2 linked regions of the Diceros bicornis minor genome follow. Each later gene encodes a partner of the first gene's protein in a complex. Links are inferred from orthologs where the notes say so. Each region holds a gene or a part of one and is shown on either strand. Other genes may lie near its edges.

Evidence for each region.
Region 2: the proteins of OPRM1 (region 1) and POMC are in contact, whole or in part, in a cryo-EM structure (PDB 8F7Q), measured with the Homo sapiens proteins. The link is inferred for Diceros bicornis minor from reciprocal best matches to the Homo sapiens genes OPRM1 and POMC. Residues at the interface, in NP_000905.3 of Homo sapiens: Ser66, Met67, Ala70, Ile71, Met74, Gln126, Asn129, Tyr130, Leu131, Met132, Gly133, Trp135, Val145, Ile146, Asp149, Tyr150, Met153, Arg213, Ile217, Asp218, Cys219, Thr220, Glu231, Lys235, Val238, Ile298, Val302, Lys305, Trp320, Ile324; in NP_000930.1 of Homo sapiens: Tyr237, Gly238, Gly239, Phe240, Met241, Thr242, Ser243, Glu244, Lys245, Thr248, Pro249, Leu250, Val251, Leu253.

What each region holds. Positions count from the first base shown.
Region 1 is NC_080778.1:15,031,768-15,047,792, reverse strand, and holds the start of OPRM1 (mu-type opioid receptor), read left to right. Parts: upstream 1-7,701; 5' UTR 7,702-7,937; coding exon 7,938-8,230; intron 8,231-16,025. UniProt on the Homo sapiens protein: Receptor for endogenous opioids such as beta-endorphin and endomorphin. Receptor for natural and synthetic opioids including morphine, heroin, DAMGO, fentanyl, etorphine, buprenorphin and methadone.
Region 2 is NC_080751.1:57,382,014-57,398,539, forward strand, and holds POMC (pro-opiomelanocortin), read left to right. Parts: upstream 1-8,786; coding exon 8,787-8,918; intron 8,919-10,969; coding exon 10,970-11,590; 3' UTR 11,591-11,975; downstream 11,976-16,526.

The sequences.
Region 1 (16,025 bases):
ATCAGTAGGGCACAGTCAGATTTCCATTTTTAACATCTCATTTTGGCAACAGTGTATAGGGTGAATGTGTAGAGAGAAAGAGAGATCCGTTACGAGCTTACTGTGTAATTCTAAATGAGTGACAGAAGCCTGGACTAGAAGAGTGATAGCAAGAATGAGAGGAAATGTAAAAGGTAGAAACAGCAATCATGGTGATTGAATGTGAGAATAAAATGGGAGTGGGAGCAGTCTATGACTTTATTTAGCAAATATTTATATCATGTTTACATGTGCCAAGGACACTTGTAAGTGCTTTATCATCAACAAGTCATTTAATGCCTATAAAAGCCCTATGAAGGAGACACTCAAGGGAACCCAATTTTATAGATGAAAAAACATTCTATCAGCCATTTAAGTCAGTGGTCAAAGGTCACACTGCTTGTTTGTGGTTAAAATAGGATTTTAACAATAAATGGGGCACCAGAGTTTATGCTCCTAACCACACATAATGCTGCCGAGTTGGAAGTGCTAAGGATGGCTGCCAGGTTTCTGGGATGGGAGACTCAGGGGGTGGTGATGTCATTAAGATAAGTGTATTTGGATAGGAATGTGAAAACACTTTGGACATATGGCATTTCTGGTACCCAAGTGGAAATGTCTACCAAACCCATGGGTATTAGAATCTGAAGATTTAGATAAAGGTCATAGCTGGAGATGTAGATTGGGTCCATCAACATACAGGTTAAAATCAAAGGTGAGTTGAGATTACTTTGGAAGAGCATGTTGAGAAGGTTAGTTGAGAGAATGCTGAAAAACGTCAGTATTTTAAGGAGCAAGAAAAGAAGAAGGAATCATTAAAATAAACAAAAGGGAATGATCAGAGTGGTAAGATAATCAAGAAATGAAGTTGTGGAAAGAGACAGTAAGGAGTATCAGGAAGAGAGATCCTGTAAGATAAGACTAAAAACCATTAGGTTAGCATTATGAAAGTCCCTAACATCCTTAGAAAGAAAGGCCAGATTTTAAAGTGTGGAGGAGTAAATGGGGCTGTGAGAAAATAGAAGGAAGATTGAGGGCAGGGCTTTGTTAGAGATAAAAACACGAATAATGAGCCATTTCTTAATGAAAATGGAATAGTCTGATTGTACTAACACCAAAGTAAGAGGGTCTCCTTGTACAAAGGCAGATGTGTGACCGTTTGAATGCAGAATTAACCTGCTAGAAAAATGCTGCACCATCACTTCCTCTGTGATCCGTGGTGCTTGGAAGTTCAGGGAGGGGAAAAACAGTAAAATTAATCAAGGGAAAAGAAACATAGAGTTATGTGGATTCTTATACAGATTAATAAGGATTTTTTTTTTTTGGTAAATCATTGAAGGCTATGGTGCAAAGAAGTGACTTACTCAAGGAGCAATTCTTAGGAAGATTTATAGCACTGATATATATGTTCAATGGATTGATAGGAAATGAAAGCAGAAAATATTTATGATAGTGTAAATTAGTGGTTCTGAAACTGTAGTCCATGACCCCAGGGATCCATGAGGTTGAAACTATTTTCATAATAATTCTAGAAAGTTATATGGCTTTTTCACTGTATTGAAATTTGCATTAATGATGCAAAAAGAAGTGGGGGGAAAACTGCCAGCAACTTAGCAGGAATCAAGCAGTGACACCAAACTGTGCTAGTAGTCACTGTGCTCTTCACAGAAAAGAAAATAAAGTTTCACTTTTAAAATGTCATTGATGGGTCAGTAACAATTATTAATTTTATTAAATCTTGACCCTTGAGTATATACTTTTTTGACATTCCATATGATGAAATGGGAAGTACACACAAAGCACTTCTGCCTCACACCAAAGTAGGATGGTTGTCTCTCGAGGAAAAACTCTTGCGTGATTGTTTTAGTTGTGAACTGAACTTTTCCATGGAATACTATTTTTACTTCAAGAATGATTGAAAGATAAACTGTATGTATTCAGAATTGCATATTTGTAGAAAATGAAGGAAGAGAGCCTGTCACTTCAAGGAAAACTGAAAGTTATTCATTTATTGCCAATGATGAAATTCAATCTTTCAAGTAAAATTGGAAATTGGAAAACTTTTGTCTTCCTTTATCAATTTGACATCATCTCAATATTTGAAGAACTTTCCTATAATATCAGTGGTGATATTAATAAATGTGATTTTTTGATATTGTATAATGGAATGTTTAAGCATTTGGAAAATTGGCATAAGGAAATATTTTCCAAGTGATCAAGGCATAATGCTGCACAACCATGCATGAGTAGCAGATTCTTTCAAAGTGGAAGATAGACCAATGGATTTTAATGTAACAGAGCACAAAAAAATTAACTGACATGATTTCAATGTCCACATTCCAACTAACCTTTAAGAAATAAGCACTTGTTAAGTTTGGGTTGATTATCAAAGAAAACTGTCTACGATTATCTGCAAAGACCACTAAAATACTCTTGCCTATTCCAACCGTATTGCAAGGCCATATTTTCTTTATATACTTCAACCAAACAACATGTTACAACTGATTGAATGCAAAAGCAGATATGAGAATCCAAATATCTTCTTCTAAACCAGACGTTAAAAATCATTGCATAGTGTAAAACGAAGCCACTCTTCTCATTAAATATTTTCTAATTTTAGAAAATATACAGTTTTTTCCCTAAAAAATTTATGTTGACATATAATAGGTTTATTGTTATTTCAAATGAATTGATAAAGACATGTTACTAAATTTTTCTGTTTCAATTTCTAAGTGATAAATTGTGATAAAGATAACCCACATAAACAAAAGTTCTTTGAATCCTCAATAATTTTTAAATGTGTAAAAAGTCCTGAGACCAAAAATTCTGACAACTGTTCCTCTAAATATAAAGTGATAAGAGACTGACTAGAGAAATGGCAGTCCTCTATAACTGAAAACTGAAGAGCAAGATTCAAATCGAAATGAGGTTCCAGATTTTAAGAAAGATATTTACACTGATGATAAACTAGCTGCTTAAATGAATTATTTGAAAGAGTTGGACTCATAGACACCACCTCAGGCCCTTAAAAGAGTCAGGTCCTTCAAGGTCAATTCTATGCTATTAAATATAGTGCAATATTTCTGATCATTATTCTTGCTAATCTCCAGGCCACATAAAACAAGATATAAAAAGCCAAAAGACAAAGGATAAATTCTTTCATATACAAATGGTCCTGCAACACTGCTTTGAAGTTCATTCTCATATTCTTATATTACAGAGGAGGAAACCAAGGATCAGGAAACACGAGTAATTTTAGCTAAGTCACAGGGAAGTAAATAAAGAGTATGGATTTTGAGCTGCTTTTTAATTTAAAGTCCAGGACTTTTGCCCACTCTATCCCAGAAGTCTCTCTCTTAGATTGATCAGGTTGAGGTAGTTGTGAAGTTTATTTTTCCTTTTCTGTTTTATTTTTACCATGTAAATAAGAGTACCTATTCCATTTCACTGGATGTTTGTGCAACACTAAAGTGATCAAGGATAATATTGCATCATAATGAATTTACATTCTGATTAGTTATACACATTTAGATGTTAGATAACATAGAAAATGTCTGTAAACAAATACATAAAATTTTCTTCCAATGGAACTCTTCCAATGTAAAAATGATGGTCCCTTTTTTCCTGTGCTTCAAACCACTATAATAGCTTTATGCATAGTATTTATGTCCGTATTCCTCATTAGTAGCTGCTTATCGTGTGTTCCATTAACAGCTACTCTCAAAAAAATCAGGACTAAGCTATTAAAATAAGTCTGGGATGATGACAATTACATGAATAACTAAAGCCTATATATTTTGAAATACAAGGAAGAAGAGTGACTTTTAGCACTTGCCTGGGATTCATTCTAGCTATTATTAAATGCCTTGTTTTGAAGAAAATATTTTAATGAAAAAATGTTGTATAATATGGCTTTTATAGCAATGTTAAACGTTGACTGATAGATAAGTTTTTCTTTCTTCAAATAGAAAATCTAGGCTATGCAAAAAATATCAACAAAAAGGCAGATATTCCTATTAATCAGATAACATACTAAGGCTCAAGGAAACTAAAGGTTATATGGTTACAATCCATGTTATATAAAATAATTAGGTTTGTAATAAATTGATTCATTTATTTACAGCCCATCTCCTTTCACAGGAGACTTGAGCTTTCACAGTAGACTTGAGACAACTCTGGTAGGAAATATAATACTATGGAAGCTGGAATTTGAGGTCCTTTTATACTATATGTTAAGTGGTATTAATTTGCTATTTTTATAACAACTCTTCTCTGTGTTTCTCAAAGCTATCTTAAAATATTTGAAAGAGATTAAATTTGTTCTGCATTTTCCCAAGTTGTATATTTAATAGATGGGAGATACTGAGATGTAAAGGTTAATACCATTTAAAGAAAGACTTGCAATATCTAGAAAATCCTACAATTAAAATAGACATAATAGTTATCCTTAATGAAACTTGAGAGAGAGTAGTAGAAAAGGAAAACATCAAATTTCAATTGAAAAATATATGGTTGAAGCACTAAGTTCAAATTCCTACTGCATAGGATGATTACATTTTTTATGAAATAGAATGAAAAACAAATAATGTTTCCAGAGAAAGTCAATGGGAATTGAGTTGCTCTTTAACAGTAATTCCAGAAGAGTCACTTGGCCAGTCCATGTGTCTATACATTTAAATCTTGGCAGGTTAACAGAGCGTACTGAGTTAAAAAGGACAAAACGTTGTCAGTGAAGTATTCTTAAACATATTTTGTTTTCAAGCTGTGCCATTTAAAAATCACCCAGATGATGTTATTGTCTTAGTCAGTTTGGGTTGCTATAACAAAATACCATAAACTGAGTGGCTGATAAGGAACAGAAATTTATTTCTTACAGTTCTAGAGGCTGAAAGTCTGAGATGAGGGCGCTGGCATGGTCAGGTTCTTGTAAGGGCCCCCTTCTGGGTTGCAGACTGCCAGACTGCTGTCTTCTCATTGTACCCTCAGGTGGCAGAAAGAGAGCTAGAGAGTTCTCTGGAATTTCTTTTATCAGAGCAATAATTTCATTCATTAAGAGTCCACACTCATGACCTAATTACCTCCCAATGACCCCATCTTCTAATCCCATCACACCGAGCGTTAGAATTTCAACCTGTGAATTTGGGGCGGATACAAACATTCAGTCCATAGCATTTATGAAGCATACACTAATTATCTTTCAATTGAATTAAAATATTATATATGTACATATACATGTATATTTCATACATAGAGAGAGTAAGAGGGAGGGAGTCTACTATGTATTAAGTACTATGTAGTGAGCAAGCCTGCCCTCGGGAACATTATTGTAGAGTATATAAAGCTGGTAAGGTAAATAAAATATATGAGGTAGGAAGTACGTATACAAAAGATGACAGAAACACCATTCCAAAAGATCTCATTGAATTTGAATCATGAACTGGATCTAACTAAGAAGATGTAATTTAAAAATAAAAAATTTATAGTGTTGTACTCAGATCTGTCTAGAATAATTATAAATTTATAGGAAAGGAAAAACATGACTCATCAGGTATAAGAAGTAAGCTTCTGTGTTCAAAAACAATTGTATCTACCTTTTTTAACTCCAGCGCCTGGTCCAAAGCAGATCTTTAATAAATATTTCTTGAACAGACTTGGATCATGTTTAGGGAATTTTGTCAATATTAAACCTATGGAGAGTCAAGAGAGCAGTGTGACTTAAAAAAAAAAAAGTGAATGGGACCCTTCGATACCTGTATCAGCAGAAAGAGGAAGTTTATAATCTTGCTCAGTTTTTATTGGTCAGGCCAAACTTAGGGCACTGTTTTTAGCCCTGGAGCTGTACCTTAAGAGCAGATATACAAACTATAATGTGAATAGAAAAGAGATACTGAAAAAACTCAAAACTACATCTTATAAGAAGCAGCCGAAGGAAACTAATGTTTAACTTGTAGAAGAGACTACTCAATTATTTTGAAATATATGAAGTGTAATAACAACAGTTATCATTTATTAAACAACTACCATTTCATTGTGTATCTCATTTAATCCTGCTAACAGACATATGAGGTATTATTAACATTTTTTTAATGATAAGAAAACTGTCACTCAGTGAGGTTAAAGTAGCATATCCAAACTCATGCAGCTAAAAAGTTACAAATCTAAGATTCACGAAATGATTTGACTCCAAGGCCAGGTCTTATTACATTGTGCCTATTTATCTTTCACATGAAGTAAGCTTGTACTGGTTCTGTGTGTCCTCAAGAGACTGAATAATGGCAGACAGATTTCAGTTCAACGTGAGTGAGTTGATGTATTAGTTCATAGGAGAATATGTGGTAAGGCATTTTTATTAGTCTCTAGGAGATCTCTATAACATTTTATTGCTGAAATTAAACCCTTTAATGTAAAAGGATTGAAATAATACTGAACATTGGCAAAATAACCTATGATTAGTGGAGTTTACCTATGAGTTATCTGTTTTCAAGAAAATGGTAAAAATAGTATTGGAATTAAATGTTCCTTTCAAGCTCCCTAACCCACCCTTCTCCCTGCTCCCCATGAGTGTAACTTTCTACAACCAATTGGGGATATTTAATGCTAATGTTTGTTGTTAAAAGATATATACATATACAAATATACACCTGTACAGAAATGAGAATTACTTTAGAATTAATGTAAATTTTAACAAAAAAAATCTTAATCCTGGTTGATTTACAAATTTATTTCTAAAATAGAAGCATTTGTGGACTTAGTAGAGAGGTATCAAATTTTAAAATGTGCCCATATTCCTCAACCTTGTGTGGGCCATTCCACACAAGATATCTATGTAGTTCCTCCTGGAATCTCTACACTAGAAAACAGGCTGAAATAATGCAAATGTTATTTGATTTTGACAATATTCTACTGAGAAGTACATGTCCACATAGGTAGTCTGGAGATAAAAGAGATAATTAATGATTCCAACTGGATCTATGAGATTTAAGATGTGGAGGATCATAATTATCTTTCGCTGACTTTCCTGGATGCCACAAATCTCTGATTTCTGTAACCAGTCCTTTAGCCTCTTCCCCATCCAGATAGAAATCAGACACAACTAGAGCTTCTACTCTAGGAGAAATTGGGGAATATGGAGTAAAGGCAATAGGTTTCTTCCACAAAAGTTTGTTCTCATTTCTTTTTCAGAGAAAAGCTCTCTCTTGTTTCAGGCAGGTTTGAAGGGTTGGAAATTCTCATTTAGTAATATGAAAAACACGGTTACCTTATTGTGGATGTGCGGGACTGAGGCAAGGAGGACTAAAGAAGAGGAGTTTGTACCCCCTGCCCCTAATGATTGCGGTAGGAAGTAGAGACGGAAGAGCATTGGGATGTTAGAGTTGTCCCGGCTGCTTCAAGCCAACGTCCTTACTGTCATATTATACAGAGAAAACGACACTGGAAAATAGAGTGATGTCAGACCCCTTTTCTATGCTTTACTATTGACAAAAACTCTCTGTCTCTCTCCCCACCCTTCCTTTTAACTCCCTTCCCCATTCTGCCCCTCCTTAGAGGTGTTTGCACGGACGAGTGCCGAGTGGGGAGACCAACTCTTTGGATTGCTTTGCGCAAAATCCACCCCTTCTCATTCCTCCCTCCCCTCCAGCCTCCGGATCCCGCACAGCCCTCCCTCCCTTCCCCTCAGCGGTTTGGGGTTGGGGATGTGTCTCCGAACTACTAAGGTGGGAGGGGGCTACAAGCAGAGGATAATGTCAGAGGCTCAGCTCTCCTCTTCTGCTCCTCTCTGGCTCCGCCAGGGTTGGTCTCTGTAAGAAACAGCAGGAGCTGTAGCAGCGGCAAGAGGAAGAGGCTGAGGCGCGTGGAACGAGAAAAGTCCGGGTGCTCGCGGTTACCTCCCAACGTGGTCGCAGCCGGCCGTCAGCACCATGGACAGCAGCGCCGTCCCCACAAATGCCAGCAATTGCACTGATCCCTTCACGCACTCTTCAAGTTGCTCCCCAGCACCTAGCTCCGGTTCCTGGGTCAACTTCTCCCACGTAGATGCCAACCTGTCCGACCCATGCGGTCCGAACCGTACCGAGCTGGGCGGGAGCGACAGCCTGTGCCCTCCGACCGGCAGTCCTTCCATGATCACGGCCATCACCATCATGGCCCTCTACTCCATCGTGTGCGTGGTGGGTCTCTTCGGAAACTTCCTGGTCATGTATGTGATTGTCAGGTAAGGAAGGCGCCAGGGCTCCGAACGGAGATTTCGGCGGCTAATGGGGGCAAAAAGGGACACCTGAGTCCCCAGGCAGAGTGTTTGGCGGGAGGATAAGAGAAGGGAGGCAAACAGTGGAGAATGTGGGAGCGACAGTGGATAGAGTGGTTGCTGTTTGAGTGCAAAAATCTACTTTTCTGTTTTTCCCTCCATTGATAAAGAAAGAATAAAAAATTTCAAGAACAGAGAAGTTGCTTGGTAAAAGCTGTAAAGCTCTGGCAAAAAAAAAAAAATCTCTGTCTTAGAGCTGGCTTATACTGAGTCAAGAGGGCTCTTGGGCACAGAGTCCCACAGTCCCTTTGGCAGAGCTGAGGAAATACTAATTTGTGAGTAATGGAAGAGGAATTCTAGTTCGTTTTCCCTAATTGGAGGGCCAGGTCTCCTTCTCAGTTCTTTTCAGAGATGAACCTTGGCAACTTTCCTACTACTGCTGGTTTCTGTGTGCTTGGCTGCACCACCACCCCATCCCTCCTCTTCCCTTGTCACAGTCGCCTATACCCCCCTCTTCCTTCCGGCCTCAGGCCACACTCATAGAGGAAGTTTTCCTGCTGTCTCTCCACAGTAAATAATGTTACTTTGTTGTAACAAACATGACAGTTGTATTGCCTAGACCAGTTGGCAGTTGGCAGCCGCAGATCTACTAGAGGAGTCACAAACTGAATCTGGAATAGGTAGGGTGGTTCAAGAGAACTACAGGATGTGTCTGTTTTTCCATGTCTCTGAAAGTGGGAATCAGTTAGAAGCAATGAAAAGCAGCATAATTCTGGATTATAAACAATTATACAGGAAGCTGTAATGTCGCTCTGGAAAAAATAAAAGTGTTTTTTATCCAGTAAAATTATTTCAGAAGAGTTTGCAGCCCACTTTCTGTTTACCCAGATACTCCAAGTTTCTTTGGCAAAGAGTGTGCGAGCTCTCAATATTAAATGAGATTGATGTAGATTGTGCTAGGGTTGATGTGTATATTAAGTCCTACATGTTAACATGGAATATTATGTATTTACTTTTGTTAAAATAGACAAACATTTTAACACTTTAAAATGGCTCCTGATTTGGAGTTTTCTTCCTACTAGGGATTCCACGTATGTAGTGAACGTGGCATTTTCATATTTATCTACATTTGCTTCATCTATTCAGCAATATTGCAGGTTTCAGTGGAGCTCTTTGATCATTAACAATAATTTTCCCCATTATGCTTTCATTATCAAGGTACCGCAAGTTGCTTGTAATTGATTCTGTCTACTTATATATCTGATTTCTTTAATTAACGATTGTCAAAGAGTAAAACTAATTTCCCTGATGTGTAAGATAAGAAGTGTCTCTGAGAAAAGAGCACCACCTATTGAGGAAAAGGCTAACAACAGAAAAAAATAATCTAGGAAGAGAATCAAGGAAGAATTTATTTTTAAAAACATTTACTTGATGTAATCCAATACAAAGATGCACATCAAAGATAAAAACCAAGACTCATTCTGCAGTTATGACAATAAAAATCATAATTAAAGGCCTGCCTTATGAAGGGAAAATATGTTTCTCTTTTTTCCTAAGAAAATTCTTAGAATCATAAGCTTATAGGTCTAGAAGGGACCTTAGACATTATCTATGGTAGGTGAGTAAACTGAGGCATGGAAGATATAAACGATCTCTCCAAGAACAAATAGTTCATTAGTTCAATACCACTGAATCTCTCTTAGCCAATATAATCTGTTTATCAGAATGGCAAATCACGATTTGAGTTAATTCAACTAAAAGATTGACAGTGTAGGTTTAGTTAGCAGAAATAATGTGGAAATAATCATTTATCCCAAATTTACTTCTGGAATCTTTAAGAATAAAAGATAAAGAGAAATTACAAAAGCATCTAGAAATCCTGTCCTCTGAAGCATAATCTTTCATTCTCTTTTATTGCTTCTCTTGGTGTTTTACTTCCTTATTTTTCATCCCTCTGGTTTGTAGTTTTCTATAAAGAGAGAGCCGGTAGAGAACCAACCAGCTGTGAAATAAGCAGATTGGTCTTATTCTCGTGTTTAAGAGATTGTTAGTTGGGTGAGTTTGTTTTAAAACATTACCTCTGACCTCTTGATGACTTGGAGAAGGACGGTGACACTGCCTCTTACTGAGAACGTGATATTATTCTTTACTTCTCCGTCCTGCAAGTTCTAACAAAACGTGGTACAATTTGAAAGGTCACCCCAAACACCCACCTGTGGGAAGTTGGGTGTTTAATTCCAAGGTCAGGTAACCCTCTGGGAACATGACTATGAAACAGAAAAATAGACAGCTCAGAGACCAATGAAGTAACGAGGAAAGCATCTAGGGATTGAAGAACGTATGTCTATTTAGCTGAGAATATTTAACTAGACTGTCTCCGGGCTGTGGTGTTTTCACTACCAAACGACCAGTTAGGGATATTAGTGCCTCTGTAAAAAGATGAGTATAATGCTGCGTTTATTAAAGTATTGAGGTGAAATACTCACTTTCTGCTATTGTTTAAAATTCAACAAATACTTTTGAATGGTCAAGTAGTTACAGCTTTCTAACCAGATTAAGGTAATAATGATTTGAATGTCTTAACATATGGAGTGAATCATGAGGCTCAGATGACTATGGCGGCAAAAATAACTGGTAAATACAGATGCTGTGATTAATGCTCTTCTGTTCTATGTCTCAACTCCATCATCATCATATCTTCATCAACAACATTATTAAATCGTGTAACATAAGTAGAATTCTTACATGGTGCTATTCTGAGGAACATAGGGGAGGAAAAGAGATACTGTCATATGATCTAAAGATTTAAAATCCAGATGTTAAACAATAGAAATGTTTTAACTATCACCTGAAATTTTTTTGGTTTTAAAGAAAAAAATTACTTGCAGGATAATAATACTATAAAAATTACCACAAAATTTGCATTCTGGAAAATATGGTGATAAAAATATTTTAAAATGTAGCAATCACTTAAAATGGGATGATAGCATATTATTGTCATGAATGTTTTAAGGGAAAAAATAAATCAAAGTAATACACAGTTATAGCCACCAGGAATGTTTTAGCTATTGAAAATATTTGACCAAAGTATAGAATTATACTGTAAATACTAATATAGTATTTATTACTACATAACTGTAAAAACTAATATAGTCCCAGGTGTGTTTGTTTTGTGAGTTTTTTTTTCTCCATGTAGTCATAACATGGTCTATGAAGACACTGTTGAAAAATGTAGAGGGTTAGAAACTGTTAGATCTCTGTGGGCTGTTTAAACCATCCTTCCAAGTAAAGTTCCAATGAAGAGGGCCAATGATATTGCCTTCATTTTTAAGACTATTTCTTAACTTGACTAGATAAATTCTTAATATGACTAGTTATCAGAGAAGAGCATTTAAATATATGCAAGATGTTATTGTCATTTTTTTTTCATTGAAAAGTACTTCTGATTTTAAAACAAGTCCTATGAGCTTATACTTTCTATATATACTAAAGATTTGATTCAGATTTAAACTGCAAAATGATCAGTCAGGACTGATTGGAACAGAAGTACAGCTTTTTTACTTAATTCAGATGTAAGTAGCTGAGAAAATAAGGAATAATGTTTTATCTAACTTAAGGATATATATGTAGGTATTTATACATATGTGTATACAAATACATATATACATACAAATTAATTTGAATGCATATGTCACTGAATATGGTCACTAGTAATTTTCAGGAAATAAAAAAGATAATAATTTATTTAGAAAGCTCAAATACTAATAATGCTTACTTCCTTTTTATAAAAACTATGAAATATCCTAGTTAGAGTATGGATTTAGAGGGAAAAACCCTAACTAATGAGAATCTGTCCTGAATATAATGGTTTACATTGAAACATAAGAATTTAATAGTATGCCTTTCACTTCACAATGGAAAGCTTCTAGTATCGTCTATTACAATTTGAACTTTAACTGCTATTTCCCACAAAGGTGCTAATTCTGTCGGCAACATCTGTTCCTCAGCATGTCCTGAGAACACTAAGTTGCTTTTCTTTTTCTCTGTTGTAAGCTGTGTCTCTCTCATTTGCACAAAGTTATCATTGAGTTTCTTGTTCTTCTCTCCTTTCTTTCTTGAAAGAATGAGCTATCTTATACATTATGAAATATTTTCAACATAAAGGAACATATACAGAATAAAATGTCTTCACCTTTAAAAACTATATATATAATTACAATAATTATGTATACTTCTAGTAATTATTTTATTTATATTTATATTACATATATAAATATATTTATTTATATATACATGTATAATAAATAATTATATATAATTTATATATTATATGTAATGTATAATACAATATATAAAAAATATATAATATATATAAGAAACCTGATTTCTTCTCCCATTATATTCCTTTCCCAGAGACTATCACTATTATAAATTTGGTGGTTATTATTCACATGCATATTTTTAAACTCTTATCTCAAATGAGTGTTTCCATAAACAAAATACCAGCTTTTAAGCATGTTCTTCAAACTTTATATATTAAATATTTATATTTTACATTAATGTTATACAAATAATTTCACTATTTTCCCAGAGTTGTTCTAGTTCTAGCAGATCAATAATAGAAACCAGATGTCAAACAAAACAACATAAAAATAAACAAAAACTTTGGCCACTAACTCTCCTGAATATTTTTAACTTATCACTAAATCTGTGTTAAAAATTATTGTAAAGATTTTTTTTCAAGTGTTTTCCCAAACTATTTCCATTAATATTTATACACAATATTCAGAAAAAAATTTTCAGCAATTGCTGCAACAAGTAAATCTGTTCATGAATATAACCCAGACATAATTTCTCTACTTCTAAGAAGGAAATAAAAATAATTGGTTTCTGATTACCTCAAGATGTCATTCAAATGATAAATTCTGACAATATTTACTTTGGGATTTTGAACATCTTGAAAAATCCTTTACACATAAAAATTGAAAATGTTATTTCTTCTAGTATTCCACTTCAGGTATTAATTAAAATCAAGTTGTTTCAGTCAGCAGGAAAAGATAAACTCATTTTAATAAGTAATATAAAACACTATGACATTTTAAAATATATTGATGATAAATACCAAGACTAAATGTTGTGTGAAATTTTAAGATATGAGAATTTCAAATCTTTAACCCTCACAAAGTTTAATGTATATTTAAGTGAAATAATGATTGATGACAGTAGTCTCCAAAGTTGTTTTTAGGTGTAGACACTTATTTCAAGAACTTGGAAGCCAATATACAAAGCAGATCAAAGAAGAGTTGTTCAGAACTAATCATGTGGGGGGGCCCAAGAGCACTGCTCAACTGCCTTCTCTGTCCCTCTCTCCATTGCTGTCCCTAAGGCACTTCCGTGGAATTTCTAGGGCTCCCTCAGGCAATACTTTAAAACAGTGGTTTTCGTATTATTTCAGACTCTTCTTGTATCTTACCTCTCGTCCTTCAGCTCACCGTTTACTTCAGTGATTGTTGTGGCAATCAGTTTCGCCCAGATACAGCTTGGTAACATTTCACCTTACCTGCGTCTATATCCCTTGCCTTCTGCTCTGGAGCTTCTCTGACTCCACCGGCCTCCACAGGAATCAGCCTGAGGAAATGTGAGGAAATTGCCCCCCCATGGAACAACCTTTAACTAGGGAAATGGGAGCCTGTGGACAAATGGTCCCCTCTGCTTCCCTCTCCCCTCAGGTGCACAGTTCTGAGGAGCAGACCACAGGCACGTCGGAAGATCTGGTCCACTTTGTGACCATTTCAAGGATATGCTTTCCTCCTTTCCGGTTTCACTCCTCTACTTCCCCACTTCTGTTCCCTGTAATTGCTTTCCAAGATGACTCACCCTCACATAAGCTCTTGTCTCAGATTCTGCAAAGCTCATCATTCCTGTTATTTTGTAATTGGCTACTATGTGTTGGCACAGTAAAATCTGATTAATAAATAGAGCTTTACAGACTCATTGAGTATAGGTTTTTCATAACAATTAGAAATTTTAAAAAAAAATTCTAATAAGTAGACCCAATTAGAACTACCAAGAGAATTCATAGGCTAAGCTTTTCCTTCATTTTTTTTCCTGCCTCAGGATTCAGAAAAGGCTTTAGTACATTTTGCTTAACAGACAAGGAGTAGGCAACAGTCATGTATACTGTTCAGTTTACTTGTTGAGTTCACGGTGATGGTAGCACTAGGGTATCTGATATGTGAAGGAAATAAAGCCCCCTGTGCCTTCTAATAAATTATTTGAAGACAAACACTACCACTTCCTTCTCCATTGATTCTAAGCTGTATAATAACTGTAAGAGACTTATAACAACCAGGCTCAAGAAAATTTCAGGGTCCTCAAAAGTGAGCTAAAACAGAGACACAAGAAATGTCATATACAAGAAGCATCATGTAATAAGTTTGTCATAGTGATGCCTTTCCTTAGCCATCTCTTCTTGCTTCAGGACACCTTACTTCCTTCCCTGCCAATCCCTCAGGCTGAGGGTCCTTGAACCAAGATAGAATTTCAGAAAAGAAGAGTAGCATGGAAGAAAAGATTTGCCTTGGCTCAGAACACCAAGTGTCAATTGTGGATTGACTTCACATTGTTCTGTGCCTCTCTCCTCGCCCGTAAAGTGTGTGAATTGGAGTAAAAATCTTAAGTCTCTTCTAGCACTAAGATTTCCTATGGCAACTTCAATGACTGTTTCTCCGTAATTTTTCCAGCTATACTATATAGAGAAAAAAGTAATCACCCACAAAATTAGATAATCTTGGTTCCAATTCCATTTCACACCCTTGGATTCTAACTGAACTCACATGGATTCTGTCAGAGAGAGAAAATGCTGAATTGCCCAGTGTTGAAGGGGTCAGTTAAGGCAATGAGCCAAGCTGAAAGTCACAGTCAAGTGTTTATTCACTTACTGTGACAGTATAAGCAAGAGGTTGAAAAAGAAAAGGTGTCAGCTCCCTAATGTTCCATTTTTCCACACAGAAAGACACCAGGTCACTGTATGAGCACAGAGGTGGGGAAGGAGAAAGCGGGGGTCATCGTCTTGCTGCACAGGGAGCCCCAAACAAAAAGATCCTGCTATTTTATGGACCTGGAGGCCAGGAGGAGGGAGAGGGGGAGGGCTAGGGGTGGGAAAGTACTGAGTCAGAGTGGAGAAGAGTTTCTTCAAGGTTCCCTGATAAGTAGGTCTCAGCAGATGCACCTGGGAAGGGCCTTGCCAATGGCCTCTCACTAAGGAGGCCTCCAAATAGAGGCGTTTGGGATAAGAATGCATATACACATAAGACCATGGTTGGTGAAGGTGGGGGAGGGTCATGAGTCCTTCACCACAACTCCCTCCAGACGGTAAACCGAGTAGGAGGGCGGCTCTCCACCATGAGGCTTGCCAGTTAAAGCCTTTGCAAGTGCCAATGGTTGGCCTCAAGGGTCACACAAAGGATTTTGACCTGGACCCAGATATCGCAGATTCAGCTTAAACCCTGATCTCTCTCTCTCATTCTCTCTTTAATTCATGGGAAGATCGCTTTAATATTTGCCTTCAGAAATGAATCATATTCTGGACGTTGCATTCCAAAACCGATGCAGAGAGATAGGAGATAGTGGTTCTACTAAATCTAATCAAGTGAACCTTATAAACCAATGAGTAAAGCAAGTAGGGCTCTTACACGTGATGGAACGTGTGATTTGTTCTATCTAACGAGAGAGAGAGATGATTCTTTTCTGGGTATCAGTG
Region 2 (16,526 bases), on another chromosome or scaffold:
TCTAGCCCTCTTTCCCTCATTCCCTTTTTCCCTCCCCGTCATCCTCCCACCCCGTCATCCTCCCTCCCTCCACTCTAGGCTGGGCTCTCCTGGGCCAGCACTTCCATAGTCATAAGGATAAAGGCTAGCACTGTGTAGAACTAACTAGAGGCCAGGTCCTGCTCTGAGATCTTTACACGTATTACCTCATTTCTTCCGTATGACAGCCACATGGGTTGGTGCAATCATTTCCCTCATTTCACAGATGGGACAACCAAGTACAGAGATGTTTGGAATTGGCTCAGAGTCACACAGCGAGGCAGTGGTTGAGTGGGGTTAGGACCAGGCAGTCTGGCTCCAGAGCTGTGCTCTTAACCATGACACTGCATTGCGCCACAGCACAGCCATGTCAACCTCAGACAGGGGAGTGTCCATGACTCCATCCCCTACACTGATGCCACATCCTTAGTATTTCATGAACCTGCCTCTGCCTCATCTCCCCACTCACTGCTCCCACTCCTGGCTGGACTGGCCTCCAGGCCCTGGAGCAGAGCACTGGGCTTCTGGTCATCCCTTGCTGTCTCCAGGCTCCCTCCGCTCTGATCATCCTCCTCAGTGCTACAGAAATCTGGTCCGATTTCTCCTCTGACTCAATCCCTAAATGGTCCTCTACCTTCTCCTCTCTTGCCTCTGTTTCCAGTCTTTTCTTTCTCCCTCCACCACAGGCATCCAGCATTCCATGAATGTGACAGGTTTTCTCCTGCCTTGAGCCCTTTGCACATGCTGTTCCATCTGCCTGGAATGCCTTTCCTCTCTTCATCCTGGTGACCTGTTGTATCAGGGCTCAGCACAGCACAGCATCCCCTTCTCTGAGCAGCCCTTGCTGACCATCCACCACCCTCTTTCCTTGGCAGAGCAAATCGCCTCCAGATGCAAGCTTGGGAGGCCTGAGCCTATGTGTAAGAAGTCTAGCTCCCCTAAAACTGCCATGCTGAAGAGATCACATGGCAAGACTGCATAGAGATAGCGAGACGTGTCTGAGGAGCCCCAAATCTTCTTGCCCCCAGCTGTTTGAGTCTTCCCAGCCCAGGAGCCAGTCATGTGAGTGAGTGACTTCAGATAATTGCAGACCCCAGGCTTCAAGCTGCCCAGGCTGATGCCACGTGGGGCAGGGACGTGCTGGTCCTGCCAAACCTTGACCATACTGCAGATCCATGAGAAAAATAAACACTGTTGTTTTAAACCGCTACATTTTGGGGGTGGTTTGTAATATAGCATTAAATAACCAGAACAAGCATTATTAACACTTTGGTATCTTTTAACATCTATCTCTATTTCTATCTCTATCTCTATGTAGATTTTATCTTATCATACTTTCTCCACTTAACAGCAGATAGTGGTCATTTTTTATGTCTAGAACTAAATATCTACATTATTATCTTGAATGGCTGCAGACTATTCCATTGTATGGCTTTACCATATTTTTATAACTATACCCTACTACAGACGTTTAGTTTATTTCAATTTATTGCTACTATAAACAATGTTGTAGGAATAGTCTTGAACCGCATTTAGTGTAACTGCTAGATAATTTCCTCAGGATAATGGGAAATCCTGGGTTAAAAGGTAAAAGCTTCAGTACAGACAGAAGCCCACTCACTGTCCCATGGCTTATCCTACAAGTCTATCTGTGTCTGCACCTCCTTTTCCTCCTGCACCCCTGTTATGGAAGAGGCAAGTCCTCCACTGTTTGAAGGCGAGGTTCTTCCTCTGGATCCCATCTTGCTTCTCCTTAAGACTTGGATTATTTGGTTTTCCCCACTCTCATCTGCAGCATCAATTTCTCCCTCTCTACTGAATTATTCCCATCAGCATGCAACCATGCTCTAGTACCTTTCTGCTATCTTTATCCTTGATCCTATATTACCCTCCACCATTGCTCCACGTTCACTGTTAGATTTCTAGAAAGAGTTGTTTTTATGATGGGGAGTAGATAAATCCACAAAAATAATGGGGAGATTTTAAAAACATACTTCTGTCAGTAAGTAAAAGAATAAAATGATAAATAATCAGAAAGGATATAGGTATAGAGAGGATATAGAATATTTGAGCAACCATAGAACACATTCTTTTGAAGTGCATATGAAACATTAATCAAAATGGACCAAAAGTTCATCCATTAAGCAGCAGCCCCCCCAGATTTCAAAGGACTAAAATCAAATAGAGCATGTCGTCTGGCCACAGGGGAGTTAGGCTAAGAATTAGTTTCAAAACAACACTAGAAAATCTCCACTGTTTGGAAGTTAAACAGAACACTTCCCAATAACCCATAGGTCAATCAAGACACCTCAATGAAAATAAGAAGATATTTTAAACCAAATGTTAATAAAAATATGACATATCAAAACTTGTGGGACACATCTAAAACCATTCTTAGAAAGGAATTTATACTCATAAATACATATATCAAAAAGAATAAAGGTTGAGTATCAATTGTCTAAGTAAAAGCATTGATATAATGTCCAACTCAAGAGGATAAAAAAAGAATTGTTATAATAACAGTAGAAATTTCAGAAATAAAAAAAGTGTACGTGCAATAGAGAAAAATCAACAAAAGCAAAATTGATTCTTTAAAAACACTAATAAGATTGATAAACTCCTAAGAAAACTAATCAAGAAAAAAGAGAAGACATAAATCACCCAATATCAGAGATGAAAGGGGACCATAACTACAGATACCATACACACTAAGAAGATAATAAGAAGATATAATAAACAATTTTAAGCCAGTAAATTTAAAAATTTACATGAAATGAACAAATTCGTATAAATACACATCTCACTAAAACTGACACAAGAAGAAATAGACAATTAGAATAGTGCCATGCAAGTAACTGAATCTGTAATTTGAAACCATTCAACAAAGAAACAACCTTAAAGACCTAGATGGCATCACTGATAAATCATGCTAAACATTTAGGGAAGAGATAAACTCCATTATGCACAAATTCTTCTACTAAACTATAAAAAATGCGGGTGGGGTGGGAGTGGAGAGGAGAGATTTCCAACTTGTTTCATGAGGACAGCATAATTTTGATACCAAAATCTGACGAGAATTCTACAAGAAAGGAAAATTACAGGCCAATCTCATAAATGGATGCAAAAATCTTAAATAAAATATTAGCAATTTGAACGCAGTGCTATATAAAGATAACACATCATAAACTGGGCTCAATCCAGGAATGCATGGTAGGTGTAGCACTAAAAATCAACAATATCACTCACCACATTATCAGAATAAAGGGGAAAAATCGTATTATTAGCCCAGACAATCAGAGGCACCTGTTCCAGGCTTTCAAAGAGGAGCTAGTGGTACAGGGCAGCAAGGGCAGTGGTCAGTCCTTTCTGGTGGCATCAGCCAAAGTGGGAATGGCAACCTCTCACTTTTTTTTTATTCTGGGGATAGAAGTGACATCTATGTCCAATGCCTGTGGTGTGACTGTCACTTGTGGCCTCTTGTTCCCAGTAGTGGTCTAGTTTTCTTTCTCATTGGATCCAATCAATGACCTGGTTTTGGCCATGATTCCAGCCACATTTTGTCCCTTCCCATTTTTGGGTCCTGGCTCTCCAACCTGCCCACTGACTCTAAACGTGGCTCGATGGCCTTTCGGTTCTGCTGCATGTGATTAAGAACTGGGCTGATGGAGGAGGACAGAAGCTGGGTCAGTATGGAGTTTTCCTGGTCTGGCTTTTCTGCTACTGCCAGTTGCCTCTGGAAGTTATAAAAATAATACAAAGAAAAATAAGATAAATCCCCATCTGATTTAGAGGGTTCACATGCCTGGCAGTGGGAGGGGCAGGCATGCATGGAAGAGGGAAGATGGAAGACAGAGCGGAATTTGTTCTAGCAATGAAGGCTACGTGCACACACGAGATGGGAATGGGGTTCTCTGGAGAACAGAGAAAGTTGTGTTTCACGTCCCAGGTAGGACAAAGCAGCCAAGAAGGGCTTCAGAGAACAGGTGATGATAAAGAGCCAAATCTTAGTGCAAGAGCCCAATTTTCCTGGGTGGCTGGAGAGAAGAAGGGTGTTTTAGTTGGGCGGGTAACAAAGAGGTGGAGGCTTGAGAAAATAGTGTTCATGGGGGTGGGAATGTTGGGGATGGTGGAAGTGCCGGGACACAAGATGGGGAGGTGGGAGATGACCCTGGAAAGAGGCCTAGGCCAGGTGATAAAGTACCTTGTTTATTGGTAAGGAGCCTGGACCTCCCCTGTGGCCCAAAAGGAAAGGATTGCTGAATATAAAGCCAATGTCACCAACCAAAAATTCTCAAGGGAGTGTTGGAGTCCAAAAGAGCATCTGATGGGGAGTAAAGTTCCTGCAATTGGCAGATTAAACAAGCACCTTGATTTGAAGTTCAGTTTGGTTCCAACACTCTCTCTCACCCCCATGACTCCTCACAACTTGCTTTTGCTTCTTTCCTCCGGGCTGAGGGAGAGTCTCTTCCATTGCAGGTTTGAGTGCTGTCCTCTCCTCCCTGTCCTGACAGTTGGGACTAGAGCCAAGCCAGAGCTCCAAGGCCAGGCTTGGAGAAGATTGAGAGTCCCCAGACCACTCTGCCAGCTCATTGCCACAGGGATGGATCAGAGGCGAGAGGGAAAGTACTTCAGCTGCTCTTCACAGAGCACTCCCTACCGTGTTAATATTCTAAGGTTAACAGCACCTTTTCCTTGGGGTTTGGGGCACAGGAAGGAGCCTGCCCTGGACTAAGCCCTCGGGGAGCAGGTCCCAGGGGGGCAGTGCAACTCACCGTCATGCCCCCGGAAGGCAACCTATTCTGAGCCTCAGGTGAGTGAGTGACTCTTCACCTTCTCTGCCCCCGGTTTCCCCAACCTGGAACAGGGGGATTGTGAGTCCCGGTTACTTCTTCACATCAGTTTCCAAAAGTTGGGGAAATCTGAGGCATCACAGACGTACTGCCTCTGCGGTGATATTTACCTCTAAATGCCAATGAGGCAGATGCCAGCCCAAGCGCGCACACAGGTAACTTCACCCTCTTCTCAACGACCTCAGCAGGCACGCCAGGCCTGCGCCACACTGGGGTGCTAAGCCTCCCGCTCGTCCTAACTGGAGACCCAACACCGTCCTTAATTAAGTTCTTTCCTGAAGGTGCCAGGTGCGCCCTTTAGCCGGACAGTGCTAATTCCAGCCTCCGGGGGCAGAGATCCAGCCTCCTTTCCAGGCACGTCTGCCCTTGCGCTCAACCCCTACCTGGAAACCCCCCTCACCATGGCCCCCCTTCCCATGGACGGGGGAGTTGCTTGTTACGCTGCCCTGCCGGGAAGTTCTCGTTTAGCGCCCCACACGGGCGAGCCCCGTAGGTATATAAAGACAGAAGAGAGCGACCAGGACCAGACGGCGGCGAAGGAGGAGAAAGAGCGGAAGAAAAGTGACCGAGAGAGGCCGCCGAGCATCCTTGCCCCGGCGCAGCGGGAGTCGCCCAGAGAGCAGCCTCCCCGCGGCAGGTAAGGGCGCCCCGGCGCGGAACCTAGCTCTCCCCCCGGGACCCCCTGCCCTGGGGCCTCGGGATGCTCTCGTCCAGCTCCCATAGCGGACTCGAGGCGCCGTTGCCTCGCTTCGGTCCTGAGCTCTTTGAAAACTTTCTGCACTGAGTGCGGCGTGGGAAGCCGCCCGCAGCGGAGCGGCGAGGGCCAGCCTCCGGCCGGTGAGCGAACGGCTGCCACGCTGGAGATGGTGCTTCCCGGAGCTGGCGGCCGCGCCTCCTCCGGGGAGTGGGGCTGCTAGAACCCCTGAGACTCCTACCGCCTTCTGGGGAGAGCCCGGTCTTTTGGCTCCTCTTCCTCTCTATTTCCTGGGGAGGTGTCACTTCTTAAAGGACACCATATAACTCTGGCGCAAATTAACGTTGGAAAGGGGGCAGGAGAGAAAAGGCTAAAAGTCACAATAAACTCCCTGCATTCCAGACTTTTTGGGATTCAGACCCCAGAATCCTCGTTTTTCTGCCCACCTTAGAGCACTCGACGTGGCTGCGCCACGGTAGCGACACGGGTCTCCCAGCTGGGGCAAAAAAGAGGACGCCCAGTCGGGAACTGTCCAAGGTCCTGAAACGCCATGTCGGTGCCCTCCATAGGACTGCAGAGTGCACTTCCCATCCCGCAGACCCTAGGCCGCAGGGCGGCAGCAGCCGTTTGAGCTGACAGAGGCTCAGGCAAGGGGGGGTCTCCAGGGAAGAAGGGAGAGTCTGCAGGGCATTTGGATCCCCCAAATTCTTCGGTATAAGTGGGAAGGTGGTTGTTCTCAAGGAATGGCTGGAAGGAGCCAAGGAAAGTAAAAGCGTGCATTTGTTTTGTCAACTGTGAAGATATGCACAGATTATGGCTTATTTAAGGAGTTAATATTCCTTTGACACTTTTGTTTTAGGACTTGATGCACGTGTATCATGGTGCAAGGACAAAACCCCGTGCCTCTGCTCCTCTAATCTTTACAGAAGGGCATGGCCAGTGAGCAATGTGAGAGTAACAAACAAAATGTTTTGTTTAGCTCATAGAGAATTCACCTACACATATGAAGTTCTAATAAATGTAGTTGTATTATAAAGTTAATGTCAAGATTAACAAATTACAAATTTCTATTTGTTTTTCTAAGGCTTTCAATTATTGGGTTGTAACACTCTCCTTACCCTCAAAAAGCACAGCTTTTGACATTTCCTGGTTACATTACTGCTTTAAAAAAAGGACACAAGGTAATATCTCTTCATTGTAGAAAAATAGAAAATACACAAAAGCAAAAAGAAAACAAGTTGCTTTCAGGAAACTATCTAACTTTTTAGCCAGAGAATGGAGCTCTGAGAGGGTGGGGAGTGAGAATGTTACCATGTTGTGCAACACAGCCAATGCAGCAGAAGAAGAGGAAATGCTCTCTGGGGCTTTTCAGAAAGCCCTGAACACATGAGGTAGGTTTTTAGAAAAAGATCATTCTGGAATGGCCAATCTTGAGGAGAATTTAAATATAGTTGAGAGAACTGTCAGACCTGTATGATTCTACTTCTTTCTCTACTAATATGTTCTTTTACACTTGCCCACAGTGATATATAACTACCATTTTTCTGCTTCTCTTGTAAATCTGGGCATTTTTCTGTGCTGTGTGGTCTCAGAGCTTTAATGTAAATTGCCTTGTCCACCAAGTTCAGGCTTCATACTTGAACTGGAGCATCAAAAGGCTACAACAGGAGCAGCCTGTCCCCCATCATGACTGGACATTACGATTTGACCAGTGCTCTCTCAGTTGCCCCTTCAGCCTGAGATACTGATGGGCCAGCTCACTGGCTGCCAGTGCCATCTAATGGCTGCTCTGAAAATAGGCAGTGCCTGGCAACCATTCAGAAGGGAGCCCTGAGCTGGCTCAGCTTTTGGGGAAAGGAGTGGGGGTGTGGCAGAGAGAAGGAAGTGGCTTCCTGAAGTAGACAATGAGAACCAAGGAGAGCTTTCACTTCTAAAGCCTTCCCTATAAAAAAGATTTGGCCCATGCCTCCACAAATGCGAGATTTCTTTAAGTAAACATTTTAAAATGCAAATGTCCACTAGGAGAGACAATTAGTCACCTACATCTTAATGTAAATTACTTTTATCATCTAATTAGGTTTCTTCCTAACAGCTGGTTGAGAAGATCTTCTAAAATCCAAAATGATTGTGGGGTTGGTGGCGAGCTCATGACAGAACTCAGGGTCACTTCAGGGGGCTGACCTGGGTGAGGGGGGACATGGCAGCATGAGAGCTAGAGGGCTGGGGAAAGGGTTGGGCACAGGGGGCAAAGGGCAGCATTGGCTCCACTCTTTACCGCATCTTGACCTCTTGGCCTCAGCATCTGCCCAGAGGTACTTCCTGACTTCTCCACAAGGGGAAGTAGTTCCCTTCTGCTCTGTCTGTCCATCTCCTTCCCTTCTACACCTACAGCATCTTCAAGTCCAGCTATTTAGGACTACATTTGAGAGACTCAGAGAACAAGAGGTCTGACATGTAATATGTTCAGAAGATGAGCCAGTTTTAAAAGAATGGGGGTGTGCTTTACAAGTAAATCTCTCCAAAGATGCCGGGGTGTGGGAGATAGTGATCATTTGTGGGGTTTGTGTACAGGACATCAAATTGGGTTGGCTGTGGTTTTGGCTAAGTTGGCCAGAGGTTTTATTTGTGCTTATGCAAACCTACTATTCATAGGAAATAAGAGTTTCTGAGGAATGATAGGATCCTGGTGGAGGCGGAGGGAAAAGACCATCGAGCAGGAGCTTCAGAATCCTTTGTCTTTCCCAAGTTACTCCTTGGTTCTGGAGTGTTAGAACTATAGCTTCATGTAGGTGGTGAAATAGGAAAGCTCCGTGCTAGTAAAAGGAGAAATTAGCCTCACCTTGTCATGAACACCCAAGTTATTGTCTCTCTCTGGGCCTCAGTTTCCCCATCTCTTAAACAACGGGCTGGACCAAATGACCCCCAAAATAGCTTCCAGCCCTATCTCCTTTCAGATCTGATTTTTAACAGGAGATAAAGGGGAAATTCCACATAGTTCACCCAGGTCCCACTCCCCTCCGCTCTACCACAACTCACACCACCACTCTGCACACCAACCTTCTCCTTGAACTGCTCCTGTCCTCAAAAAGCCTTGAGCTCCACAAATGAGTGTGTTGTTAATGTTGGCTCACAGTCCTTCCTGGTGAGTGACCAACATTGTTCTGCTCCTTGCAGGGGTCCCACCAATCTTGTTTGCCTCCGCAGAGCCTCAGCCTGCCTGCAAGATGCCGAGACAACGCGGCAGCCGCTCGGGGGCTCTGATGCTGGCCCTGCTGCTTCAGGCCTCCGTGGAAGTGCGTGGCTGGTGCCTGGAGACCAGCCAGTGTCAGGACCTCACCACGGAAAGTAACCTGCTGGTATGTGGGCCATGGCTGCCATCTTGTTTGGGCATCAGGTGGGACTGGGGCTGGGGTTGGGACAGCACAAAAGAAAGGGGTTTGGATTCATTCCCAGAGATACTCAACCCAGGGCAGGAACAGATCTCTAGGGTGAAGTCAGAATTGGGTCAAGGAGGGGAGGAAGCAGCTTCAGGAAGCAGGACCAGATGGGTCTGGTCCACAATTTTGGCTTGATTATCTTTGCTTCCTGCCCTGTCTCCTTGTATGGGGACACTACTCCATTTAAGCTATTTAGAGATAGTGCCATAAAAATAATAATAACAATACTAATAACAGTAATAACAATAATTGCTCCCTCAATTGATCCTACATTTTCAATCTTTTAGCCTCCAAATTATTCGTTTTTAAATAACCTCATATCACTTGCCATCTGCATTCCACTTTTCTTCCCTTTTTATCTACTACCAGTTACAACCCCAGCGAGGTAGTACCACAAATCATCTCTAAAGGGAGAAGGAAAAACCCAGGTGCCATTTTCCTCTAACTGGTGCCCAATGGCTCATGCTTCTTCTGGAGGACTGACCTCCTGCAGCCTTTCCAGAAGCATGTAAAGGCCCGTTGTGCCAGGTTGGAACTCCCGCGAGGTTACCACAGGGTGTGTGTGTGTGTGTGTGTATTGGGAGGCATAAATGAGAAATGATACCAAGCAAGGACTAAAAGACACACTGCTGGTGTTGGTGAGCGCGTTCCACCCTGCTGCCAGCACCTGCGTAGTGAAGATGGAACGCACATCACTACCTTCTGTGTTTTGTCAATGGAGAAGCTGAGTTAAGGTGAAGAGAGACTTTCTCAAAAACACAGAGCAGTTTGCATGTGGAATACAAAATAGAAACAATGATCTCAGGGAATTCTGTGAGTTCTAGTTCAGAGAGATGCAAGAGGCTCTTGACTGGAGACACCCACTGCACAACGTCTCCTGAGAGCTCACCAGGGAAAGAGCACAGCCATCATCAGAGCCCATGGGTTCTAGTCTCAGTCCTGTGAGCTACGGAACCTTGCCAAGGTCCTTTCACCTCTCTGAGCTCTCCTGTGTCCAGGGGAGAGGAGTATGAAATACTTCTTATTTTCCACTGTTAATATTCTGCAGTGTTAGAATTCTAAGTTCCCAGAGTATGAAATTCCCAACTCAAGAGTGGGTGGGATGCTTCTGTTTCCTCCTTTGCAGTCTTGAGTAATTGAAAACTCAAGGCTGCAGCGTATAGGTCATTTTCCTAAGCAAATGTTTACCACAGCTGAGTTGTCTAGTTACAGAGAGCAGAGACACGCACTCCATGACCCGTGCAATGGAAATAATCCTGGCTTTCTATCCCTCCCTCCAGTCAGAATGAGATGACAGGGAAGCGAAACCCCCTCCCAAAGCTCACTGATTGGGGAAAGTACAGGATCAGCTCAGAAGTCTTGAAAGAACCAGAGAAAGTGCCAGATGGACATGGGAAAGTTTTGAAGCATGGTACAAGGAGATAGCTGGGGTAGGGCATGGGGTAGGTTTGCAGATCGCTGGGGTAGGGTTGAGGCATTATTGAAAATACAGGCCCTAGAAGCCAGACTTGTACTTCTCCCACCTGGGGAGATTCTACCCCAAATTTCAGCCCAATGTCCTTCCCAGACTCAAACTGAACCAAATATATTTATTCAATATTCATTAAGTCCCAACGACTAACACCCACCCGCCATTTATTAATTCCTATATATCAGACGTATAACGGGAAGACGGTGACCCTGCTCGCAAAAGCTATGGGACAAGTAAACCAAGGAGTGGCATGGGGTTTTTGCTGCAGCTGCCAGGCAGAAGTGTCAAGGGGTACAGGGACAAAGCAGGCGATGCCCAAGCTGAGTCTCAGGTGTCCGTGGGGGCCAAGAGGACGAGGAGGGCAGGCGTCCCCGGGAGCGAGGGCCGCACGTGGTGACGGTCGCGGGGCACTGGAGGCGCGGAGGGCGCAGGCGCAGCGCGGAGGGCGTGCTGGGGGGGCTGCCGGCGCGCGGCCCTCACTCGCCCGGCTCTCCCGCAGGCGTGCATCCGGGCCTGCAGGCCCGACCCCTCGGCCGAGACGCCCGTGTTCCCCGGCAACGGCGACGAGCAGCCGCCGACCGAGAACCCCCGGAAGTACGTCATGGGCCACTTCCGCTGGGACCGCTTCGGCCGCCGGAACAGCAGCGGCGGCGGCGGCGCGGGCCAGAAGCGCGAGGAGGAGGCGGTGGTGCTGGTGGGCCGCCCCGCGCCCCGCGGCGATGGCGGCGAGCCGGGCCCGCGCGAGGGCAAGCGCTCCTACTCCATGGAGCACTTCCGCTGGGGCAAGCCGGTGGGCAAGAAGCGGCGCCCGGTGAAGGTGTACCCCAACGGCGCCGAGGACGAGTCGGCCGAGGCCTTCCCCTTGGAGTTCAAGCGGGAGCTGGCCGGGGAGCGGCCCGAGCCCGCGGCGGCCCCGGCCGGCCTGGAGTACAGCCTGGTGGCGGAGGCCGAGGCGGCCGAGAAGAAGGACGAGGGGCCCTATAAGATGGAGCACTTCCGCTGGGGCAGCCCGCCCAAGGACAAGCGCTACGGCGGCTTCATGAGCTCCGAGAAGAGCCAGACGCCCCTGGTGACGCTGTTCAAAAACGCCATCAAGAACGCCCACAAGAAGGGCCAGTGAGGGCGCAGCGGGCGAGGGGCTTCTCTCCCCAGGGAGTCGGCCCTACGCCCCGCTCCTCGCCTGCCTCCTGCCGCCTCGCAGCCTGGGTGTGCTGTTTGCTCGGGCCGTGATAGCGGCAGATGCTCGGCCTCTTCCCGCCGTGTGTAGTTAGGAAATAAAACCCTTCCAGTTTCACATCTGACTCTGACTTTGAATGTCGACTGGGTGAATAAAGTAAAAATACATATCCATCAGATAAAGAGCAAAAGATATCGGAGGAGAGACATAATGGTTTCCGTGTGACCGAGTGGTAGTCTGTTACACAGGACATAGTAGGAAGGGAAAGAATGTACTCTCCCCCATAGATGGGTCTTCAAGGGGCCAAATAGTTTGGGTGATGGCTCAGGGTGGCTACATTCCCCACCTTCCACTGGGTGGGGAGAGACTGCTCAGCTAGCAGATGCGTCAAAAGGCAGGATTCCTACAGGAGTGACCCTGGCTTCTCTGTCCAACTCCAAGAGCCAGCCCGACACTGATGAAGCCCACCCGCAGCTGGGAGGGCTCTCTGGGCTGTGAGGTGGGAAGCTGTGGTAATGCCTCCCTGTAGCCGTAGCTATCTGTGAGCTTAGGCAAGCCTCTGAATGAAGTCCAAGATTCAGTTCTCTCATCCACCCCACACTAGCCCTAGTGTGAGGGCTATTGTGAGGATTAATGAGAAAATGGGTGTGATCTTTTTATGACTGAGAAGCTAAGTGTGCGAGCTGAGGGTTGGTATTAGTTCAGATTTGACTGCACTCCCAGGCTACTCACAAATATTTTCAAACACATGGTCTCGCCCACACAGATACACAGCCATGGAGACACATCTGTATAAATACAACACAATATACACAGATGCTTCTTCCAGTCCCTGAGGCTCGAGCCTTGAGGTCCTCTATTCCCCCTCCCCCGCCCCCCCCAGCCCACCGGGCTCTCTCTCAAGCTCTCTCCTCCCCATGTTGCCCAGCCTCAGCCCTTCTTCAGCCTTAGTGCTCCGCGCTCAGGCCTCGACTATCAGAACAGCTTCTTAACCGACTGGTCTCCTTGTCTCCAGTTGCTCCCCTCCCCAACCCGTTGTACACAAATTCCTCATATGAAGGTATACAAAATCTTGCTCTCCCCACAGTCCCTGGCTCAAGAACCAAAAAAGTTACCCTACCCCAATTTTCCATCAATTCCAAACTACGTGGCATGGCATGCAGGGCCCTTATCAATGAAGTTCACTTTTCTTACCAAACCCATGTCCCATGTTTCTACCACTGATCTTCTCACTCTTGTCTCATCCTCCTTCACCTCTGCCTGGAATTCCCCACCTTCTCCCACCATTGTCAATGTCACTGTTTTTTCAACATGAGCCCAGGCTCGAGTCCACTTCCACTGGGAAATCTGTGATCTCTTCCAGCTGAGCCTGCTCATAGTCAGTGTTTCTGTGGGCAGCCCCCCCAGTCCCCTGCTGGAGGACACACAGTTTCTTGCTGCATGTATGTCTTGTGCTCTCCTCTCTGGGAAACTCTAAGCTCCACAAGGGCAGAGGCCAGGGGCTGTGTTTCTTTTATACGTCCCTATGGTGTTTTCACAATGCTGGGGTCATGGGTTGGCAGCCACACACGTTGATAATTCAAAAGAGACTCACAGATACTTATATACACAGAGATGCACACGTACATGTCAACTGCATTAGACACACCAGTGGACGGTATAGATCAAAGCCAGCTGGGAAACATCTGTGTATGGCCTTACATATATACCCCCATATCTTGATGCTCTAGAAGTTCAAAATTAAAGAAAACTGGAGTGCACCCTGGGAAATCCTGATGTAAGGGGAATCAGAAAGCCAGATTCCTAAGATAAAGTCTCCCCCAATGTGGGTGACATGAACTGGGGCTAGATTCCAGTCACTTTAGTGAAGAAATGGCCCAGGCCTTCCCGTCAAAGGATGCTCCCATGCTGGGAATCCTGGGCCTCAAGTTTACATCTTGGTAGCATCCCTTCCCTACCCTCCTTCCTTTTGAGGCAAGCAAAGTGATGGCAGGTGGGGGTGGCTAAATGTCAGCAGTAAATGTTGGTATTTTCAGATCCTGTTTGCATCTCAAAAAACCATTTACTTTAAAGAAATAAAATAGAGAACCATGTGGTGACAACATTAACATTTATTTGAAAAGGGCATCATGAAGGCTCATTGGGAAATCACGAGTGATCTTGCTAAGAGTCCGTCTTCCTACACTCTCCCCGCTACTATTTCCCCTTCCTTAAAATAAAACTAATTTGGTTCAACGAGTTTCAAACACAGAAAACAGCCACAGGCACTAGTTCTGCACTCCCATATAAATACATCAGCTATTATATACACACATTGTCAACTATGAACTATATTACACACACATGCACGCACACGGGCACACACACTCTCAGCCAGGTCATGAAGGTCTAAGTGGACACAGACACGTTACAGTGTATGGGCTGCAGCATTTGTGGATTTACAGCTCTGCACTCCACAGGCCGGAATCAACAGTCATGGAGGAAGAGCTTAAAGGGGAAGGTGACAGGCTGAGGCCCCCAGGTTCCCTGAAGGAGAAAAGACCTGGTAACCTGGCTGGAGCTAAAAGAGAGCACACAGAACTGCCTTCTGGCCCCCACAGGCCACAGAGCCCCTCCCACAGCCCCCGTGTCTTCTTCCCACTTCCCCAGCCGGCCAGGCCTACTGTGACCATCCTTCTGCAGTCTTCAGACCTAGGCCAGACTTGGGATAAGGGGTCACTTTAACCAGAAGATTTCTAGGGTTAACAGGGTGAAGCAACAACACACTGCCCTAAACTGTCTCCCCAGATGTAAGGAGGATGGCTTGTTTCAGCGGAGTCAATGGGTCAGGGGAAGCGGCGAGGCCTGTTCCGATGAGCCCATCTCCCTGTCTACCTTCAAACTTAACATTCAGCCTAACAGCTCAGGTCTGGTCCTTTCCCACAGGCCCTCAGCTGGCCAGCTGCCATTTTATGGTCATGAAGAGGAGTTGGGAGAAACAGCCTCACTTCTCAGCGATACTCTCTGTACCCAGGTCAGAAGGCCTGGACAATGGCAGAGCAAGTGGAAGGTATTCTGACCCAGGGGTCCCCAAACAAGCCCAGAGGTCTGGCCTTTGAGCCATTTAAAGGTACCCTAAGGCTATTCTGATTCTTAGGCCAGCTGAAACATGTCCCCTGGGACCCAGAACACCCAAGCAAAGGGCTGCACATATATGACCCTCGAGCTTCTTCAAGCAATTTAGACAGTCCCAGGCTCATCCGTTTATATTTGGATATGAGATGGAGGGGGACAGAGGAGAGTATCTGAGGGCTTTTCTAGTTCTTCTTCTGACCTGCTCAGGCTCCTTCTCTGGTGAGGAGGCATTTAGGAGTCAAGAAACCACTGATTTCTACTGTTCAGAGAGAGGAAATGGGAAGAGACACAGGGCACCGGGGACCCCACTGCAAGGAAAGCAGAAGGAGCCTCCAGGATTGCACTGGTGCTTTCTGCTGACCTGCCTCTTACACGCTTACGTGACTCAACCAAATTAACGGAGCTTCCAAATCTCAAATACATTCACTTGAGATTCAATGTGCATACAGAACATTAAGTTCTGTCAGCAGAGTGCTAACCAACCCTACCCCTTGCCCACGAAGCAAGAGTCCTCAGTGGCTTCGGGGAGCAGCTGGTCTGGATGGGCTTGCTGGCTCCTCTCGGCTCAAAATCACAACAGAGAAGGGTAGCAAACAGGGTCGGTCACATCACACAGTGCTGCCAGACTCCAGATGGTGTGGAAGGCAGGTAGCAGTGATGCCAGGCCAGGGCCTGGGCACCCACCAAACTCTGATGTGCTCCCCTCCCAGAACTTGTGGGGGGCGAAGGAGACTGCCTAACCTACCACTTAATATCTGTTTGAGTTAACACGCACCTTAAACTTTCTGGTTCTGAGGCACATGTGGCCAGAATCCAGGTTCTACTCCATGTCAGCAGGCAACCTAATATGCTACTGAGTGTAAGCTGAAATTGAAACTGAGAAGGGGGCTCTCAAAAAATGGCCCGTTCTCCAAAAGAGCACATCTTTGCTGAGCAGCGGTGACGTAAAGAAAAAGCTGCTTCGGGCGGATGCAGAGGAGCCAGCAGTGGAATCCCGCATCTCTTTCTTCACTCTGTGCCCAGGGCGGGGCTGAGGGAGAGACAGCTGAGTGGACCTGCAGGCCTCTGGTTCTAGTGCTCTAGAAAGAGGCTCCAGCGCCATGACTCCCAAGTCCCAGGACCAGGGCCCCAAGGGCAGTGGTCAGGGTGCATTCGTTACGGGGTGGACCCTAAAGTCAAGCAGGCACAAGAAAGGAACAGGGTTTCTCATCAAAGCCAGGCAAGGATAAAGACGGAAAGATCCAGTGAGGAAAGATGTGTTTGTGGCTCGAGATTTAGATTTTCTGTAAAGTTTCTTCCAGAGGTTATTTGCTTTCAAGGTTGTTTCAAATTATTTTAAAATTGGTTTCTTGGGCCGGCCCCGTGGCTTAGCGGTTAAGTGCACGTGCTCCGCTGCTGGCGGCCCGGGTTCGGATCCCGGGCGCGCACCGACGCAGGGCTTCTACGGCCATGCTGAGGCCGCGTCCCACATACAGTGACTGGAAGGATGTGCAGCTATGGCATACAACTATCTACTGGGGCTTTGGGGGAAAAAATAAATAAAAATAAAATTATAAAAAATAAATAAATAAAATAAAATTGGTTTCTTAATAAAGAGGTATTAAGGTAAAAAGAAATCTAAGTTCATGCTTGTAAAGTTGGGTTGAGCATTAGCCAAAAGCCAAAGAGCAGAGCCAAAGCTGTCGGCAGCAGGCCAGGGGACGGGGGACAGGAGCCGGGCTCCCTGGGCCCTGTAATCACGCAGGCCATCAGGAAGATGCAGGCC